2 linked regions of the Mytilus edulis genome follow. The protein of the gene in region 2 interacts with the protein of the main gene of each other region in a biochemical or structural test. Links are inferred from orthologs where the notes say so. Each region holds a gene or a part of one and is shown on either strand. Other genes may lie near its edges.

The links. The genes of interacting proteins can lie anywhere in the genome.
Region 1: the proteins of egl nine homolog 1-like (region 2) and peptidyl-prolyl cis-trans isomerase FKBP8-like form a complex in vitro, tested with the Homo sapiens proteins (2 studies listed by BioGRID, with this or other methods). The link is inferred for Mytilus edulis from reciprocal best matches to the Homo sapiens genes EGLN1 and FKBP8.

The regions. Positions count from the first base shown.
Region 1 is NC_092347.1:90,565,206-90,573,664, forward strand, and holds the start of peptidyl-prolyl cis-trans isomerase FKBP8-like, read left to right. Parts: upstream 1-4,702; 5' UTR 4,703-4,815; coding exon 4,816-4,816; intron 4,817-8,459. Other genes in the region: U11/U12 small nuclear ribonucleoprotein 35 kDa protein-like, read right to left, coding at 4,459-4,461. UniProt on the Homo sapiens protein: Constitutively inactive PPiase, which becomes active when bound to calmodulin and calcium. Seems to act as a chaperone for BCL2, targets it to the mitochondria and modulates its phosphorylation state.
Region 2 is NC_092346.1:64,074,627-64,083,956, forward strand, and holds the start of egl nine homolog 1-like, read left to right. Parts: upstream 1-5,533; 5' UTR 5,534-5,861; coding exon 5,862-6,794; intron 6,795-9,330. UniProt on the Homo sapiens protein: Cellular oxygen sensor that catalyzes, under normoxic conditions, the post-translational formation of 4-hydroxyproline in hypoxia-inducible factor (HIF) alpha proteins.

The DNA.
Region 1 (8,459 bases), on a different chromosome or scaffold from region 2:
ATACTTAAGTTTTTACTTTTTAACTTTTAAAGTAATTCTATAAGATCGTTACAGCAGTACTCAAATTATTTGAGATGAAATAATATTAATGTTTTACATCTTATTTTGTACTTCTTAAAAAAGGGGGATGCTGATTGCGTAAACTCCAAATAAAAGCACATGTTCGACTTGTTAAACTGTTTTCTTTGTAACTGGATTATTAATTTATTTTTTATAGTCTAAATTATTATAAGCTTTTTCTGAAACTTAGGTGAATAACTTGATAAACGAATCGTCTTTCTTCAGACATTTCAGATAGTATTCTCCTGTGTGGTTTGTTGATCTACCTGTACAAGCTCGGGTACAAGTAATTAATTATCTTTATCTAGATATCCCTCAGGCGTTTGAACTGTATTGGATTATAATATAAAAAAGCCTAAGGGTTATGCAATTACATGCATTTGATTATAATTGCTAAAAAAATGGAAAGGTTTCTTATCGTCGAGTTGCAATTTATGAGTTAAGAAAGTCGAGTTGCAAGTTAGGAAAGTCGAGTTGCGAGTTAAGAAAGTCGAGTTGCAAGTTATGAAAGTCGAGTTGCGAGTTAGGAAAGTCGAGTTGCGAGTTAGGAAAGTCGAGTTGCGAGTTAGGAAAGTCGAGTTGCGAGTTAGGAAAGTAGAGTTGTGAGTTACAAAAATATCTTTGACACCTAATTTTCAGGTTTGATTCACACTTGATAAACAAAGCATGCATGTATCCGAACTAAGTTATTCCCGTGATTGCAGAATTTGAATGAGGTATATGTGATACTTATTTATAAGAGTCTAGTAAAAGTTAAGTTCTGGAAGTATTTGAAAAAAAATAATGTTTCCTTAAAGGACGAGATCGATCTTATTTATTCCAGTGCGTTTACACTACAACATAAAAAGGATAAAAAGAACCAGTCTGACCATAAATTACCTTATTACCGTATATTTGGTAAACAAATAATCCTAAAAATAGAATAGTAAAGGAAATTCGGCATCTCGCGTGGACTATAACACACTGCAAAATAATGGAGAAAATAGTTTGCTCATTGGAATTTCGTATGGATTAAATTTTTAAAAAGCTGAATATTCATAATTTGGAAGTAAAGCTTTACTTTTTTCTCAAGTCAGTTAACAGAGGCGGATTTAGAGGGGTTTTCAGGGGGCCCTGCTCCCCCCCTTTTTTGCAAAAAATTTGGTTTATTATATAGAGAATCACTGAAGTATGACTGGAGCGGGTCCCCTCTTAGGCAGTCAGTGGACCCCCACTTATGAAAATTTCTGGGTCCGCCATTGGTTAAGCAAAAACTTTGTTATATTTTGGTACAAAAAAAAAAGGTACAAAGAGTTATAAATTAGATACTTATTTCAAATTGAAAAAATGTTTTTCTAAAGAAATGTACCTACATGCATCTTTAAAACAATTTTAAAATGAAGTGTCATATGTAAAATCAGAATCAGTGGCCATGATCTCAAAATAGAAAGAGACTGATATAAAACTTTATATAATAAGACTTTAAAGGCTTTGTAAGAAATGTACTCTAAATCTAGTTGAAGATGAATAACATTTCATTACAAGTTGTCCAGCATGTACAAAGATGATCTGAAGGGAGATATTTTACAGTCTCTGTACTAATTTTTCCTATCTCTCAAATGAGACAAAATTTGTTTGGTTATTTACTAATGAAAATTTGTCTGTACTTAAATATTTAGGAAACTATATTATTACATATCGAGATGTTAGACGAAATGTAAATGAATATATGTACATTGTAATAACAATAATAATGTTAATTGTAATGATTTTATAGTTCAGGTCCTGTCTTGAATTAAATGTATGTGACTTATTAGAATAACATTTCAACAGCAACCCAACCAAAATATACAATTCAACCAAAGGCCATTAGGTTTTCAACACAGCGAGGATCACCCACCTAGAGGGAGCCCTGAGCAGGCCCAGAAACACAATGTTCATTACATCAAGAATATGGACCCCATTCTATGCTCCTAAATATAAAGATAAACCAAAATTTTTAAAAATATGCAAGAGTAACAAAGGCTAACTATTAAGGTTCCTGACTGAGCACCTTCATCTCTAGCCGATGTAGACATACAATGTATATAATTTTAACGTCCACAATATTGAGTGTCACTGCCAAAGAATAAATTTTGCGGTCCCTAACGAAAAAAATTGCCCGGCTCTGGAGCTGCCCCATAAAGCTCACTCTATACGAAATCTGCAGAACTGAAGGGTTATTTTACATTTATGTATTAAAGTTTGGTTGCTATCTCCCTTTATGTTTAATATGACGGTGCTAGCTATGAAATTTAATAATAATTAAACTGCAAGCCATCCGCTGTATTTCAAAAGGCTATCTGCTTCTTCAGAAAATACGATACGTATGATTTATATGTAAGCAATCCATTTTATTTTTACAAGAGACTCAGATGAAGTCCAAACAACAAAAATAATCAACAATACTGTATACAATTCTATAAGCCATCATCATTCCAAATAAATATAAATCACTGAGTTTCGTTAGCACATTTTGACGCAACTCGACTTTCCTAACTCACAACTCGACTTTAATAACTCGAAACTCGACTTTCTTAACTCGCAACTCGACTTTCTTAACACACAACTCGACTTCTGTAACTTGAAAATCGACTTTCTTAACTCGTAACTCGACTTTCTTAACTCGTAACTCGAATTTCTTAACTCATTTGTGACTTGCAACTCGACTTTCTTAACTGGCAACTCGACTTTCCTAAATCGCATTTCGACTGTAGTAACTCTTTACTCGCAACTCGATACTCAACATCAAGTGAATCTCAAAAAATGGTGTTGAGCTATAAAAAAAGATTACAGTTTTGAACGATGGCGGAAGACAATTTAATGATGGCGCAGGTTATTTGATGATGGCGCAAGACAATTTAATGATGGCGCAAGATATTAGAACAATGGCGAGGCACAGGATATTTAAACGATGGTGGGGAGCCATGACTTTAAACAGGCCATGGAGATCCCTAATATATATTGAATTTTCAAATGTGCAGACAAGAAAATAAGCATGGCGTGGGTAATTTTAACTTAGCGTTTGTAGTTTTAGCTTGTTGCACTGCCACACTTAATTATTAGGTTGTGATGATCCCTGTTTGAATAATGTATATTGATTTAGGTGTCATACCACCAATTACTCCCTCAAATTTAGAACGTATGTGAAAGTAGGCCTACTCGGACAAAAAAAAGTGCATTTGATGTCATTGTTCACCTAAACTAACCAACAAATTTGCAGAAATGAAAGTTTTGTTCAAAGAGAAATATATTAAGACCATTTTGAGCCAAAATTTACCTGTCTATGAGTTTGCATTAAAAATTGAGGATTAATGCGCTCCATAGTATACTAATTTAAGATTTCCAGAAAACCAGGGGTTATTTTTAGTGGTACCTCCTTTCGGAAGCTCTCTGCTTTCTTATATGATTTTGAATGTAACGTGACGGTACCCAAATTGCACCTATTTTGACAGTTTTTTCATCTACGTTTTTTTATGATGAAGACAAAAATGTCCAGTCTGTGTTTATTTTGTAGCCCTATCCTTCTTTATTATAAAGGTACACCAATTTGATTTTTATTTCATATGGAATCATAGAAAAATTGGTCTAAACTGACCTCCAAACCATCAATGATTCTGAAATTAGGAGTACCCAAATTGCTTCCATGCTTAAATTCGCATCGTCAAAAGTCTAATAACAGAGCTTTTGTTTAATTTCTTTAAATATTTTGAACAATTGGATATTAGTCCATGCTTACTCTTCATTATTTTTTAAATGGATACTTGTAACATATTGTATTTGCTCATTTTAAAAAGATGACGTTTTGATGACGTCGCATGGTGACGTTTCAGTACATTTTGCTTTTTCAGTAAATACTTCATCTGTTGATAGATACTGTGAACGTTTTGTGCATATCTAAATAGTTTTACCTATGTTGAAAGATGTGCTTAGTATCAAATCATAAAAAAACAAATTGTTTAGTCTCTAGAAAATCTTGTAAGATTTTCGCTGCTAGTTTTGCTAAATAGGTGCAATTTGGGTACTTGGTGCAATTTGGGTACCGTTACGTTATGTTGAAAATTGGCATGAAGAAAGGTGACACCTGTACAATTCAGGATATACCTAGTTTCTATGAAGTTAAACTTAAGGTAAAATATTTAGAAAGCTGTGAAAATTGCAAAATTTGGTTGAACAGATAGGGACTTTTAATTGGTGGTATGACACCTTTAGTGTCCTGTATTCTGTGTCCAACAATAGCAGATAACATTATCATATGGGTACCAGACAGTACAGCTAGTTCATGGAATTTTTTTTTTGCGGCTACAAATTCATATCATGACTAAACAACAGCTTTTTTTAAGTTGTATAAACCAGCATTTTAGGTGTTGATTTAATTACCATAAAAATGTTGATAAGTTTGCTTACTCAACTCTAAAAGATAAGAAGGTTTTGATGGGTCTGGTTTTTTTCTCAAAGTAACCAGTCGTATACACTATTTGCGGTTGTCGTGTATGGGAATCTAATTAAAAAAAAATATTTGCATTTTATTTACTTTATCAATATATGGTATATTAAATATCATATATTAATCATGGAATCTGCTATTTTTTTTAATTAAAATCATTGTTTTTATTCAACATGCACCGGTAATAGTATGTCGTAAAAAACATTCAGAAGTGAAAGTTGATAATCTTTCCGTATTTTTATTTGCAATTTGTTTTTCTAACTGTCACTTAAACATTCCAGTAACAAGAAAGTAGGTAGATGAGATGATAAAATACATCAGTTACGAAAAGTTAACTGTAGATTGATAATTGCTACGAATTTGATCATTTGATGTTCAGAGTGTGCATGTTTGACCTTTTTAGTTTTTGACAGCATGATTTACAGACCGGTATCAAACACTGGCTTAGGTACAGACTGCAGGATTTTTAATTAAAAAAAAATGTTTTTTTTTTTTGCAATGAATATTAAAATTTTCTATTTTCATACCACATACTTAACATTACAATACTTGTCTTGAAATTTTTCTGATGAAATTATCAATATAAAGTACGTAGCAATACCACCGCTAGAGCTACACAATACACCTTATCGCTATTCCCGGCTGACCCGTCCGCTTGAACTTTTGACGTCAACAACAATCACTTTTCCATTGTGGCGTCAGACATTTTGTTTTATGACGTCAAAATTTTACGGGAACCTGTGTGATTTCCAGCAATGGCGGACAAATAGCGATAAGGTGTATACAACATCCATAGCTAGAGGACACACAACACTATTTCTTGTACCGTATGCCAGAACTTCAACATACAGGCATTCCTTCTTTCCAGACAGCATACAGATATGGCCTTCCACAACCTTTGGTGGATAGTACCTAACTAGATGCTTTCAAGCAGGGGGTACTGAGCTGTAGTATCCCTTAATCGCACCATCAGACTGTTTTTAACTTGCACCTGTAAATATTTTCTTGCACCTTTGTTGTCACACCCAGCATGGGCAATAGTGCGATAATACTCAATTAGAGGACTGCACTGTATTGGAAGAAGAAAAAGTAAATTTTGTTCTATCATGTCTATAATGACTTTTTTAATGTACTTTTGAATATTGGTTAGGAATGTCTTCTTTGGCAAAGAAAGTTGAATCCAGAGGTTGCAGCTTTATCTGAGTATTTTCATAATAATGATGCAGAGAGCATCTACTACTCATGCTACTGGCACATACAAGTGAAATCAATCAATTCATTTGTAAAGTTAGATATTTTCGCCATGAAAGTATGTCCACCAGACACTATTTCACAGAATTGTGTCCACTGTTATTATGAAATTTTGTCAGGATGATATCTTGTCCTCAGATGTGAAAAGTGTCCTTCAAAGAAAGGACCATATTTCATAGGCTAAGGGTTCCTTCATAGAATGGACAGTATCTTACACAAAACAGTGTCTACTCTCAATACCTATGTATGGGGGTTTTGTCTCTAATAAACATGATAAAACACATGACATGTAAACTTTTAGTTTTTAAATCATACGAAATATCATCACCATGTGTAATTTAACATTAATTTTACAATAAAAACATGCACTTATACACACACAAACAGTAATAGAATTGAGAATGGAAATGGGGAATATGTCAAAGAGACAACAACCCAACTTAAAGGCAGTAAGCAGACAAAGGTGTTGTTCATGAAATGCATTTAAAAATATTTTGTTTAGAACAACAGAAACCCAGATATATATTTATACTATTAAATGAGAAGACCTCATTTTGTGTGTTGCTTCTCTTCCTTCCACAATAAATTAATCATCATGCCTTTGTGTCCTATAGGCATGATATATAGGTACAATGCATAGTCTCATTTATCATTTATTTATCATCCTTGCTTATGATTATTCAGTTTGGGTTATTTTGGGAGGAAAATAAACATGATAAAGGTGTCCAGATATTGTTTTAGACTAGATTTTAAGTACTTTGGGACAGTACAATTATTTTAGAGTTTTTCTGTATACTGTGATCATACATACATGATATATAGTATAAATAAAGTGTATTTGCTATTTACTATCAATTCCAATACTGTTGTTTACTTTCCACCATTTATACATGTTTACCCGTACTACATTTTTGTACATGTTATAGTATGTGTTCATTATATACAGAAAAACAACAAAAAATGGTCTGGAAAAAAGGGGAAGGGCTAAAAAAAATAATTGTCCTGTTCTCAAGTACAATGTACCTATGACTAATGAAACCTTTCCTGTAATTTTCCAGGTACAATTTTTTTTACAAAAAATTATCCTTCAACAGATTACATATGCTCTAAATGCGATTTCTTGGGTGTGTTCTAGTTAAATTGAAAAAAGAATATTAAATTATTAAGACATCATTAACCTCTAGATATTACAATGTATTATGCAGGTCATAGGTTAAAAAACGCTAAACAAGGCCTTAGGCAGCAACCATTTGATTTTTTGAGGGGGCTATGGATTTTTTCAGCCTTATTTTGGCGACAAGTCGAAAACATTATTCTTTCAATTTTAGCATTACATACATGTATAGTGGCAGCTGAGGGTGAAACAAACATTTTTTTTTCTCAAAGTAAAAAACAAATTATTTTTTTCTCCAAAAACTGGAAACAGACTTCTTTCCAAAAAAATCCATAGCCCCCCCCCCCCCCCCCCCCCCCCCAGAAAATCAAATGGTTGCTGCCTTATAATTATTGTGAAGAATAAAATGATTAGAGAGACAACGGAGAGCTAACTAAATAATTCATTATCATTAACAACTCTTTACAGTCTACCATGCACCTGTTATGAATATATTTCACACATATAGTGAATATAAAGCCTCTTTTGTTACATGATAAGTGGTAATCAGGTCATCAATGGATTATTTGGACTTGTCAATCAATAATATAGTTTCTGTTTTACAGGTACATTTTGGTCATTTATTACAGGCTACATGTATATCAAATACAATATAAACATTTTTTGATGAAATAAGAAATTTGAAGGATTATTTTAATTTGTAAAAAATATAGTACAGTGTAGTATATCAAATACAATATAAACATTTTTGAAGGATTATTTTAATTTGTAAAAAATATTAGTTATATTTTTTACAAATTCAAATAATCCTTCAAATTTCTTATTTTATCAAAAAATGTTTATGTTGTATTTGATATACATGTAGCCTGTACACGTGTACATTAGCCATGAAAACTCAATCAATAATAATACAAATTGTACATCATTGTACAAACAGCTATATATGGCTTAGTGCACATGTCAGAAATCTCCTTTTAGTTTTTAGTGTTTAAGCTCTCTTTAAGCATTTAGTATTTAGTCAGGCGCAGGACATTTTAGGGAGAAAAAAAATAGCTACATGTACTAGGGGACATTTGAGCGACAACACTAGAGCCCATTTTTGCATTAGATTAATTCGTTCACCTGTATATTTCGATAGCCCGTTTTAGGGAAAACTTACCTGGTTGAATATTAGTAACTCACTAAGCTTTGGGCAGAAGTTCATTGTATTTTAAAGGGAACAAATAGTGGTCCAGAGTCGTTCCATGACCATTATAATGAGCAATGTTATAGTTGTCATCCAGCTATTTACGTTTTTCTTGATACTATTTTCAAATTGCAAACAACATATACAAAAACACGAAGTATAGACGAATGTGCATCAAAATCTAGACAAGATAAAGAGAAAGAACAGTTTCTAATGCAATTCAACAGTATTGTATGGGGGGTATATCCAGAGCCCATTACGTACGTTCTCTAGGACATAAATTCCAGGCTAGAACGAACTTGTAACATTTGATTAAATCTTTGAGACATTTAGTGCTGTATTTTAATGGACATCATATGTTTTATATTGTGATGTCTTGAGTC
Region 2 (9,330 bases):
ATTGTTGGTTGCTTAACGTCCAGTGGCAAATATTTCATGCATATTTAGGACGAGAACAAGTTCACAATAAACACAATAAGTAGGTTGATACAATAGAGGCCATCTGGGATGATGGTCGGGGAAATTTGGACTGCCACTGGAAAATGAGGGTATATTAGATAGGGACATAAATTTTGCCTTGCAACAGGCCACCAACGGACCCCTCAAAGAGTTGTTGCAAGGGTTCTTAACATGCAAAGAGCGTGGCACTTTCTTTACACGAGGCATCGGATTGAACGTCCCCCTTCTGAACGGACGTGACTGCGAACTTGATACATCCCGCACAGCCAAACGGACGCCCCACTTCGGCAAGCGTTTTACTGCCGGTCGGGAGAAGACCAAGTGACCACATTTCTATACCCCAGTCACCCTATGGGTTAAAAAACCCCAAAGTAATCCACATCAAAACAATTCCCGATTGTCCCACATTTAACCTTCCCAGGTATCCCACTCGGTGCTTTGCTTTGCATTTGCGTCCATTGGCATTTCATTTGCACCAAATATAATCTTACATTTGCGCCACAGACCATATTTCATTTGCGGCAATAATACAGGTAAATAATTAAAAACATTGATTTTTTCCACAAAAAGCGGACTCTTAATGATAAAGACAGTTTTTGTTTGCATAATACTAGTAAAACATAATTATCAGAAATCCGTTAGTCATCATTAAACCAAACAAGATATTTCGTTCTAGCTGTTACTTTGAACATATCTTAAAAGGAGTAAATATTGCGAGACAGTTCTCAGCATTATACAGTATAGTAAAATTATAATTCTATTAATTTCAGTTGTTATTCTGGCTTTGCAAGTTTTATGGCATGATTTTTTATATGATGCATATAATATGATAAGCGTGTGATCATAAAACAAATACAGATTTCCTCTGTTTGTCTCTGAACTGACAATTAATATCAATCTATACACCTAAAACATGTGAACACTTTTTTTTAAACCTCAGTTTTGTATTAAAAATGAGTACAGGAGAAATACTGTAAAAACAGATCTTATTCACGATACAACAATGAATAATTTAATTTTGGATGTAACGCGTCTTCTGCCGGATTGGCTGACGTTATTTTGTTATGAGCCCATAGACATAATTTAGTCATGTGACTGTGACGTCATCAACGTTTTTTCATGGTTTTCTACGGTTTAAAACGGAATAAAGAATTAAATTATAAGAAATGACTGTAATATTTTTTCTGTCTATTCGAAATAACATAAAAAATGTGGTGCACACTGTTAAATAACCCGCTACGCGCGTTATTCAATGTGGACCAAATTTTTTATGTTATTTCTTCATAAACAGAAAAAATATTACAGTCATTCCTTAAATGCATTCCGTTATATGTTACCTGTATTACCTGTGAAATGGCGAAAATGAAGTGTTTGAAGTTTGGCGCAAATGAAAGATTGGATTTTTAAGAAATTGGTGCAAATGCAATGCGCGCCCGTCCCAATAACATATTCTGGATTGTGCCACAAAATTTCATTACTTTTTTACCTGTACTACAAAAATGTTGGACAATCGGGAAGACACCGAATAGTTGGCTTAAGAAGGCCCCAATATGAAAAACATGAAAGTATTCAATTGAAATAAAAACCAACGGCCTAATTTACAACAAATCAATTCACGAAAAACATGTATATGACAGACATAAACAAACCACAACAACTAAACTAGTCTCCTAGCTTAGTACAGAATCACAAAGAATATGGCGAGGCGAAACATATTTCTGGGCGCTCAAACCTCCTCTTACAAGCAACAGTAGTGTCACATCACAACATAAGAACAAACTATGAAAATAAGTTTGCAATTTGCTTACCTCAAAACTTAGGTATACGCTGAAGGAACAAAAACGGCTAACACTCAAAACATTCCTACGGACACAAAGCACCTAAATAACAGTACCTGCAGTAAACCAAGGCTAGTTAAAAGTAATTATGACTAATAAATAAATTTTGTTTTCCCAGACTTAAGTATCATCTCAAACAGATTTAGTGTAAAGACGCCATAAGCAGTCGGAGAAACGCATGACCAAAACAACACCAGAAGATATAGGATCCGTAATTCTCATATTTGTACACATGTTGCAATATATTGTATATCTAGTTATCTTTTCTTTCCTTCTTAAAAACAAAATCAATGTTGATATTGATATAAGAACCATCTAAACATTATTTTATTACTTTTAAATTGATACCTTTATTCAAATGATCAATTATGTGTTCATCGGCTCTGTAAACAAAACCGTGCCCCTTTTCCTTTTTATTTTATGATATCTAGGATTTCGACGACAATGTACCGATATCAGTAGCCAGTCACTTTATTTCTATTGATATTTTAGCCTGTTGCAGAGAGACATAATAGACATGTTTACATCAAAATTTGAGTTCCTTGAATCCAAAGGGGCATTGACTTCGAGATATAAAAATAATAAAAATATGGGTTTTTTTTTTGTTTTTTTTTTAGCATCTATGAAAATGAAATATAGTGAAATAATAATTCGCTTTTAGCAGGGAGTTTTGTTCAATCTTGTCAGAATATGCTAAGAAAAAAAGGTCGAAAAATTATTCACTTGTAAGTGAAAAATTCGACATCATTCAATTCATATTCATGTGGCCTTCAATTTAACCCCAGAGAGGCCGGTTACCCATGAACTAGGCGTGTTCAGCTATTAAAAGAAAAATAATGTCAACATTGAAAGTGAAACCGAATGAAAATCACGTGCCGCAATAATATCATGGCGTTCGAAAATATTAGAAATAGGACAAAACAACTTGATCCCCGAAAATCAAATAATCTTTAAAATACTTTTGTCACTATTAAAAATAGTTCTGAGCCGGATGATAAACTTTTTGTTTGACTTATTCGATCCATGTAAGCTCATTGTTAGGTAAAAACGATGATCAACCTATTTTGTTTACCTAAAATATGAAATCAAACAGACCTAAAAAAAATCTAATTGCACGAATTACTACCTATTTATATCTATGCTTATATCGGGTTATATGACCGTCGGCAGTTTTCGGAGGTCACCTCGGTGGTTAATTAGGTGGTATTATCCGTATAGACTGAAATACACACGAAATGCTGAAACATATTACCGTGTTCATGCATCGTAAGATGTGTATTATAAAAAATTTATAATTTAGATATAGGCCTACGTTTTAGTATGAATTATTCATCTACCTCAGGTGTATATTGACATTTCAATTTTTCTTCAGTTGATTGTTCGTTGAATTATATGTAACAAACACTTCACTCATCCTCTGAAGTCGTCGACAACATCGGTAATTTTAATTCAAAGCAGTTGTCTTTAAAACCAATTTGGTTTACTCCTGGTTTATCTCATAGGTACTTAGGGACAGGACAATTTTTTTAGCTCTCCCCCTTTTTTCAAATCCGTCGTTATTTTTCCCTTTTAATTGAAATTATTTTCGCGTTTAGCTGTATAACATGAACATAATCATACTAGAAATAACCTGTATTTGTTTACTTACTACTGTACCAATTGAATCACATATCATGACATATTATGTAGCCGATCAGCTGAGACTTCTCATGCTAACACATATCTATAAGGCACTGCTACGGTTACATGGAAATGTAACAATAATAAAATAATTATTGTTACATTTGAAACTAATTGCCGGAATACAGGGAGGGTACAGATCCGATTAATTACTAATGTAACAATACTATTTGTGTCTGCGGTTACATTGAGTAATTGTTACATTACTGCACTTCAACGTACGGTAGATTTATTAAACTTAAACTAAACCTTCCCTAGTTTTTTTGCTTATTTTTTCGCTAATTAAGAACAACGACGAACGAATGAATGTGGGCAACTGTTAACATTAATTGCATTCAAATTGACTTTTAAGTTTTTAAGATTTATTAGGTTTTTCAGCTATGCTAAGTTGGATATTGAAATCGGAGAGAGGTGAACATAAAATCATATAACAACCCACAATAGTCTTTAGATAGTGCAGAATGCAATACTGACGTGGACATTGCTGCATCACTCGTTTGTAAAGGCTGCTTAATTATAGTGGTTTCACCAAAATGTGTCGGACTAAAACATGCCCCAAAAAAACTGTCATTGTAAATAAAATCAAAATGCATTGTAGAGTTGCATTGTTGTTGATAAATCCAAATAAAATTATTCAAGTTTTATTTTGATACATATTACTAGTCCCAGTGTACATTGAAGTGCATTTATGTAAAAATAACGCAATGAAACCGTAGACTCAATTACTATTGTTACATACGTAATTAATCGGTTCCTTACCAAGTGTAACGGAGGGGGTCGGTGACGACACCTCCCGGGTCGTGTAGTGGCCAGTACTTTGTCCCTATACGACCTTCGGGATACCTGATATCAGATTATGGCTGAACAACAGACAATGAATCAAACGAAACTATATTTTATTAAAAAATGTACAATAATTTCATTAAACAAAGTCGGATAAAACAGGAGTCAGAAAACTTTCTTAAATGGAGTTCAAAAATACAGTAATTTCAAATGTAAAATGAAAAATAGAGTGTTCCCAGAGTTAGTCTTAAAAGTAAAGTAAATTTGCTTCGCGTTGTGTTTTAAAGTAGTAAAAGTGTACCAAAAGGGGGTGACTAACTCTGGAGAACTGCACCGAAGTGGTGGCCAACTCTAGACTCGAGTGGTACTAATTTTAGTTCCGGCGAGTATTTGGAGGCCTGTGCAAGGCCGACACCGACTGATTATCAAATGATATCCTAAACTTGTCATTAATCAGGAGAACTTTAACATAAAAGGTACTGACGAAAAGTTAAATAAATGAATATTCTTAAAACATTATAAAAACATCAAAAGTTAAATGCTAAAACAGTTAAATTAACAATCCTTACTTTTATCTTACTATATTTAAATCAAATCAAACCTAAAAGAAACATTTAAATACTAAATAATTAATCTGTTCAAATTAAGGGGAATTAACCTAGGCACATCAGGGCACATCTATTACACCAAGCCCTGCATTCCGGCAATTAGTCTTCAATGTAACAATAATTATTTTATTATTGTTACATTTCCATGTAACCGTAGCAAGTGCCTATATGTATATGGTCTCAGAGATCAGTGACCGCGCTGTGGATAGTAAACTTGGAATTGATAGTAAATAGCAAATACAAATTAAATATATTTCTTGTACATTTACGCTTATAGTATACAGACTTTATACAATAAGAAGCGGAAATAATTAAAATTAATGGGAAACCAAAAAGATAACGGATTTAGGAAAAAAGGGGGAGGGCCAAAAAAATTATCCGTCACCTACCTATACATATTCTTATTTTATGATTCCTTTTGTTATTGTCTTATTGATGTCTAATATATGTTTCTTGTGAGCCCCATTTAATGGAAATATAAAACATCTTCTTCTGCAATGCAAGAAGTCATCTTGTCTGTGTCATTCCATCATTTCATACGAATATTAACAAAAGAAATTTTTATTTTCATTATTGTTTTTATGCTTCAGGCGAGGCATTCGTATCGCACCGACACATCGTCATGCTGAAGCTTGAGCTTTCCGGTGAGAACATTTGCGTCGCCAGACTTACATCTCGGTTTTTGGTAAATTGCCGGATCAAATAAAGAGCAGTCTGAGTACCGAAAACATCAACTTCGTCGTGATATTCAAGACAGCTTCGTCGTGTAGACCTTCATGTATCTTTAAAGTATAATAACACAAACAGCCAAATATTCATTAGTATCCGTGACAACTTGAACACTATCTGTGTCATGGAGGACTGGATCAAACGAATGTAAACATAGGAAATAATGGCTGCATGTGTACGTGACAAGGGGAACATACGCAACGTTTGCCAACTTTGCGGCCAAGTAAATAATTTAATGATCTGTGCAGGTTGTAAAAGAACATGGTATTGTAGCAGGGAGCATCAGAAATATGACTGGAAGTATCATAAGAAGAAGTGCAAAAAGCCAGAGCAACCATCAAACGAAAAGCAAGAATTGGGTCAAAAAACAAAATCGTCTATAAATAGTAACGAAATATCAATACCGGAGGGTTCCCCACGTGTGGATGGGTTACGTGACAGTGAAGATGTAAGTTTAAAAGTTGTTGACACTGACAAAACCATGAGTGAATTAAGATCCTCGAATTCTGCTGGAAATGTTTCCAGATTAGAACAATTGAATTTGGAAGAAGATAAACAAGTTACTGTTCCAAAAATTGGCAAACATTCCTCAAAGGAATTCTTTTTACATTCAAATATTTCAGAGTTAAAACCTTTTACATCAGAATCTGTTCGACAAAATATTGCTAGACACTCTTCTAAGAAAAGAAACAGTTCTGACAAAATGCCGCCAACAACGGAAGAAGAGTTTGACACAAGCAAAACATACTTTTCAGTGCTTGAAACCAGGACTAAGATGCTTGCAGACTATGCATGCAATTGCTTAAATCGTTATGGTGTGTGTGTTATTGACAATTTTCTTGGAAATGGTAAAGGACTTGAAATTCATGAACAAGTCCAAGATATGCATCAAAAAGGATTATTCACAGAAGGACAACTAATGAACTCTGAACGTGGAAATTCAAATTTGAAACATGTTAGAGGAGATGTTTTAACTTGGGTTGATGGTAGCGAGGAGGGGTGTGAAGACATTGGATTTCTTGTATCCTCCATGGATGCTGTTATTTTAAAGTGTGCTGGCAAATTGACTAATGTTAGTGTAAATGGGAGGACAAAGGTAGATACTATTTTGTTGTTTTCATTTGTTTGTTTACTTTGGTTCTTCTCAGAGTCAAATATCCTGTGATGGACATGACATGCAAGTTACAAGAATGTAAAAGCTACAAACATGACTTCAATAACCCAATAAAAATTTGAAGAATCAATAGATTTAAAAGATACAAAGTTGCTCACAAGTATGCATGTAACATGGTATACATGTATATGTTACCATTTTACATAATTTTACAAGAATTGATACTGATACATTGTACAACATGTACATGACATAACATACTTTGTACATTTGTGAAAAATTTACATTCCTTTTTAATATTCAGTTCAAAAAGATTTACAAAATGTACATGATGCAAATGTTCATGTAAAGTCATGTACATGCAACTGACTTTGTACTATCATGACTATACATGTACATGTGTTCAAAACACCAAACACTTACAAAGGTTGTAATTACAAGTAATATTTGTACATGCTAACTCTGAATGAGGCCTATAACTGTAATCATTGACGATTATATTTAAAAACATCTCAGTTTAGATTTCTTTAAAAAATATTAAAGGCTAAATAAATGGACCTTAAAATGTCCAGTTTGAGGAAGGATTTTAAATTTTAGTTTTTTTGTACATGTACAATGTATCTTATTAATCAAAAGGTAAAATATTTTGATAAGAGCATTTGTTATCTAAACCAATGTACATCTTATCTACTGTACATGCAAAAAAACTCAAGTACACCACAGTAATTTTTTATCAATAAATGATGGAAAATAAAGGGGGAAAAACATATAATATAGAATTATAGAATATATAAGTAATACTGATATATACTTGTATAATATGATATAGCTTAAGGATGTATTCTTCTGACTTTTCAGTCTCATTCAGTCTCGTTGAAATCTCGTTCTTGAATTATTTCCAAAACATGTAAAAGAAGGGAAAAATATCAATGAATTTTAAAAATATTATAAGCAAACATAAATCTGTGAAAAAATTGTGTATTTACAATGAATGGTTTTCTCGTAATCCAGTTTTCAAATTTTACGACCAATCAAGTTAGTATTTTTAGCCAAAATTTTGAGAAAATGGGTGAGGGATACAAAAAATTATTTTACAAGAATCATGTACATCCCATATCATTTTGGTCTTTTCAAATTTCTTAGATATGTTTTTTTCATTCATTTATAACAAAAAAGTTGAAAAAATATGCATTTTGTTCTTAAAACTGAGAAAAATCAGAAAAATGCTAAATTGACAGCATGGTAAATTTTACACAAAAAAGCGTCAAAATATGATAAAACTTTCTTATATTAACACCTACCTATAGTTTTTGTAATTAAAATTTATTCAGATTGGTCCACTTCATCTTTTTATAAAGTATGAGAAAAAGTTTAATTGTGGAACTGTGATTTTTTTCATGATAATAGCCCAAAAATAGGTAAAAATCGATGAAAAATGGGAAAATCATCAAAATTGGTCATTTTCAAAGGGCTTTAGCAAAAAAAGAAGTGCACCACCATATGATTTTTTCTTCACCAATTATTTTGTTACAGTCTTATAAATCCAAAAATCAGGTTAAGAAAAAAAGTTTAATTCTAGAAATTTTTGGCTCCTCAGAGGTGTACATCCTTAAATGCTTATTCAGATGATCAGTTTGCATGGTTTAAAAACATTTTAATCTGCAATTGAATTGGATAAAACATTAAGCAATTGCGCAAAAACCTTTTGAATATTCACAGCCATTTATAGCTGACTATGCAGTGCTGGTTTTGCTCATTGTTACCTATAGTTGTTTAATTCTATGTCATTTGGTCTTTTGTGAAGAGATGTCTCATTCATTGGCTGCAGTCATGCCACTTCTATTTAATGTCATTAACCGTTGATCAATGTTGATTATAAATATTTCATGTAATTCACAATTCTGCAGGAATAATATTAACCAAAGTACATGAGAGACATATACATGTAAGAAATTGCATCCATGTACATCATGTACATGTACATGTGTATAAATAATATTGGAAAAAAAGATAGAAATGCAGGCCCATTAGTCATGTTAAAAATGTAATACTTATAATTAGTTCAGGCCTCAGTTTATATTGCCAAAATGTTAAAACACAGTTCACTTACAATTGTAATAACATGAATAAGAACAAAAATTTAATTCATAAAACTGTTTGATAGTTGTGAATTGTTAATGCCAGTTAATGCAGAATTTTGAAACCTTTAAAATAAATAAAAAAATTACTGTTAGTGTTATCATAAGCATTATAAGTCATGTTACATGTACAAACGTTTTAACCCCACATAAAAATGATATTCTGTTGATAAAAAATTTCTTTTTAAACTTTCAGTAAAGTAAATTGAAAGTTAATATTTCTACATTGTATTTTGACCAGTGATAAAAAAGAAATGAATTTGTATAATTTTTTTGTAAGTTTGGTTTAGTGTTTCAGATGGCCAGTTCTGTGTTTGGTAAAACTGTGGTTACTTATTATTATAAAATCATTATTTATATGTTTAGATTATCTTAACAAA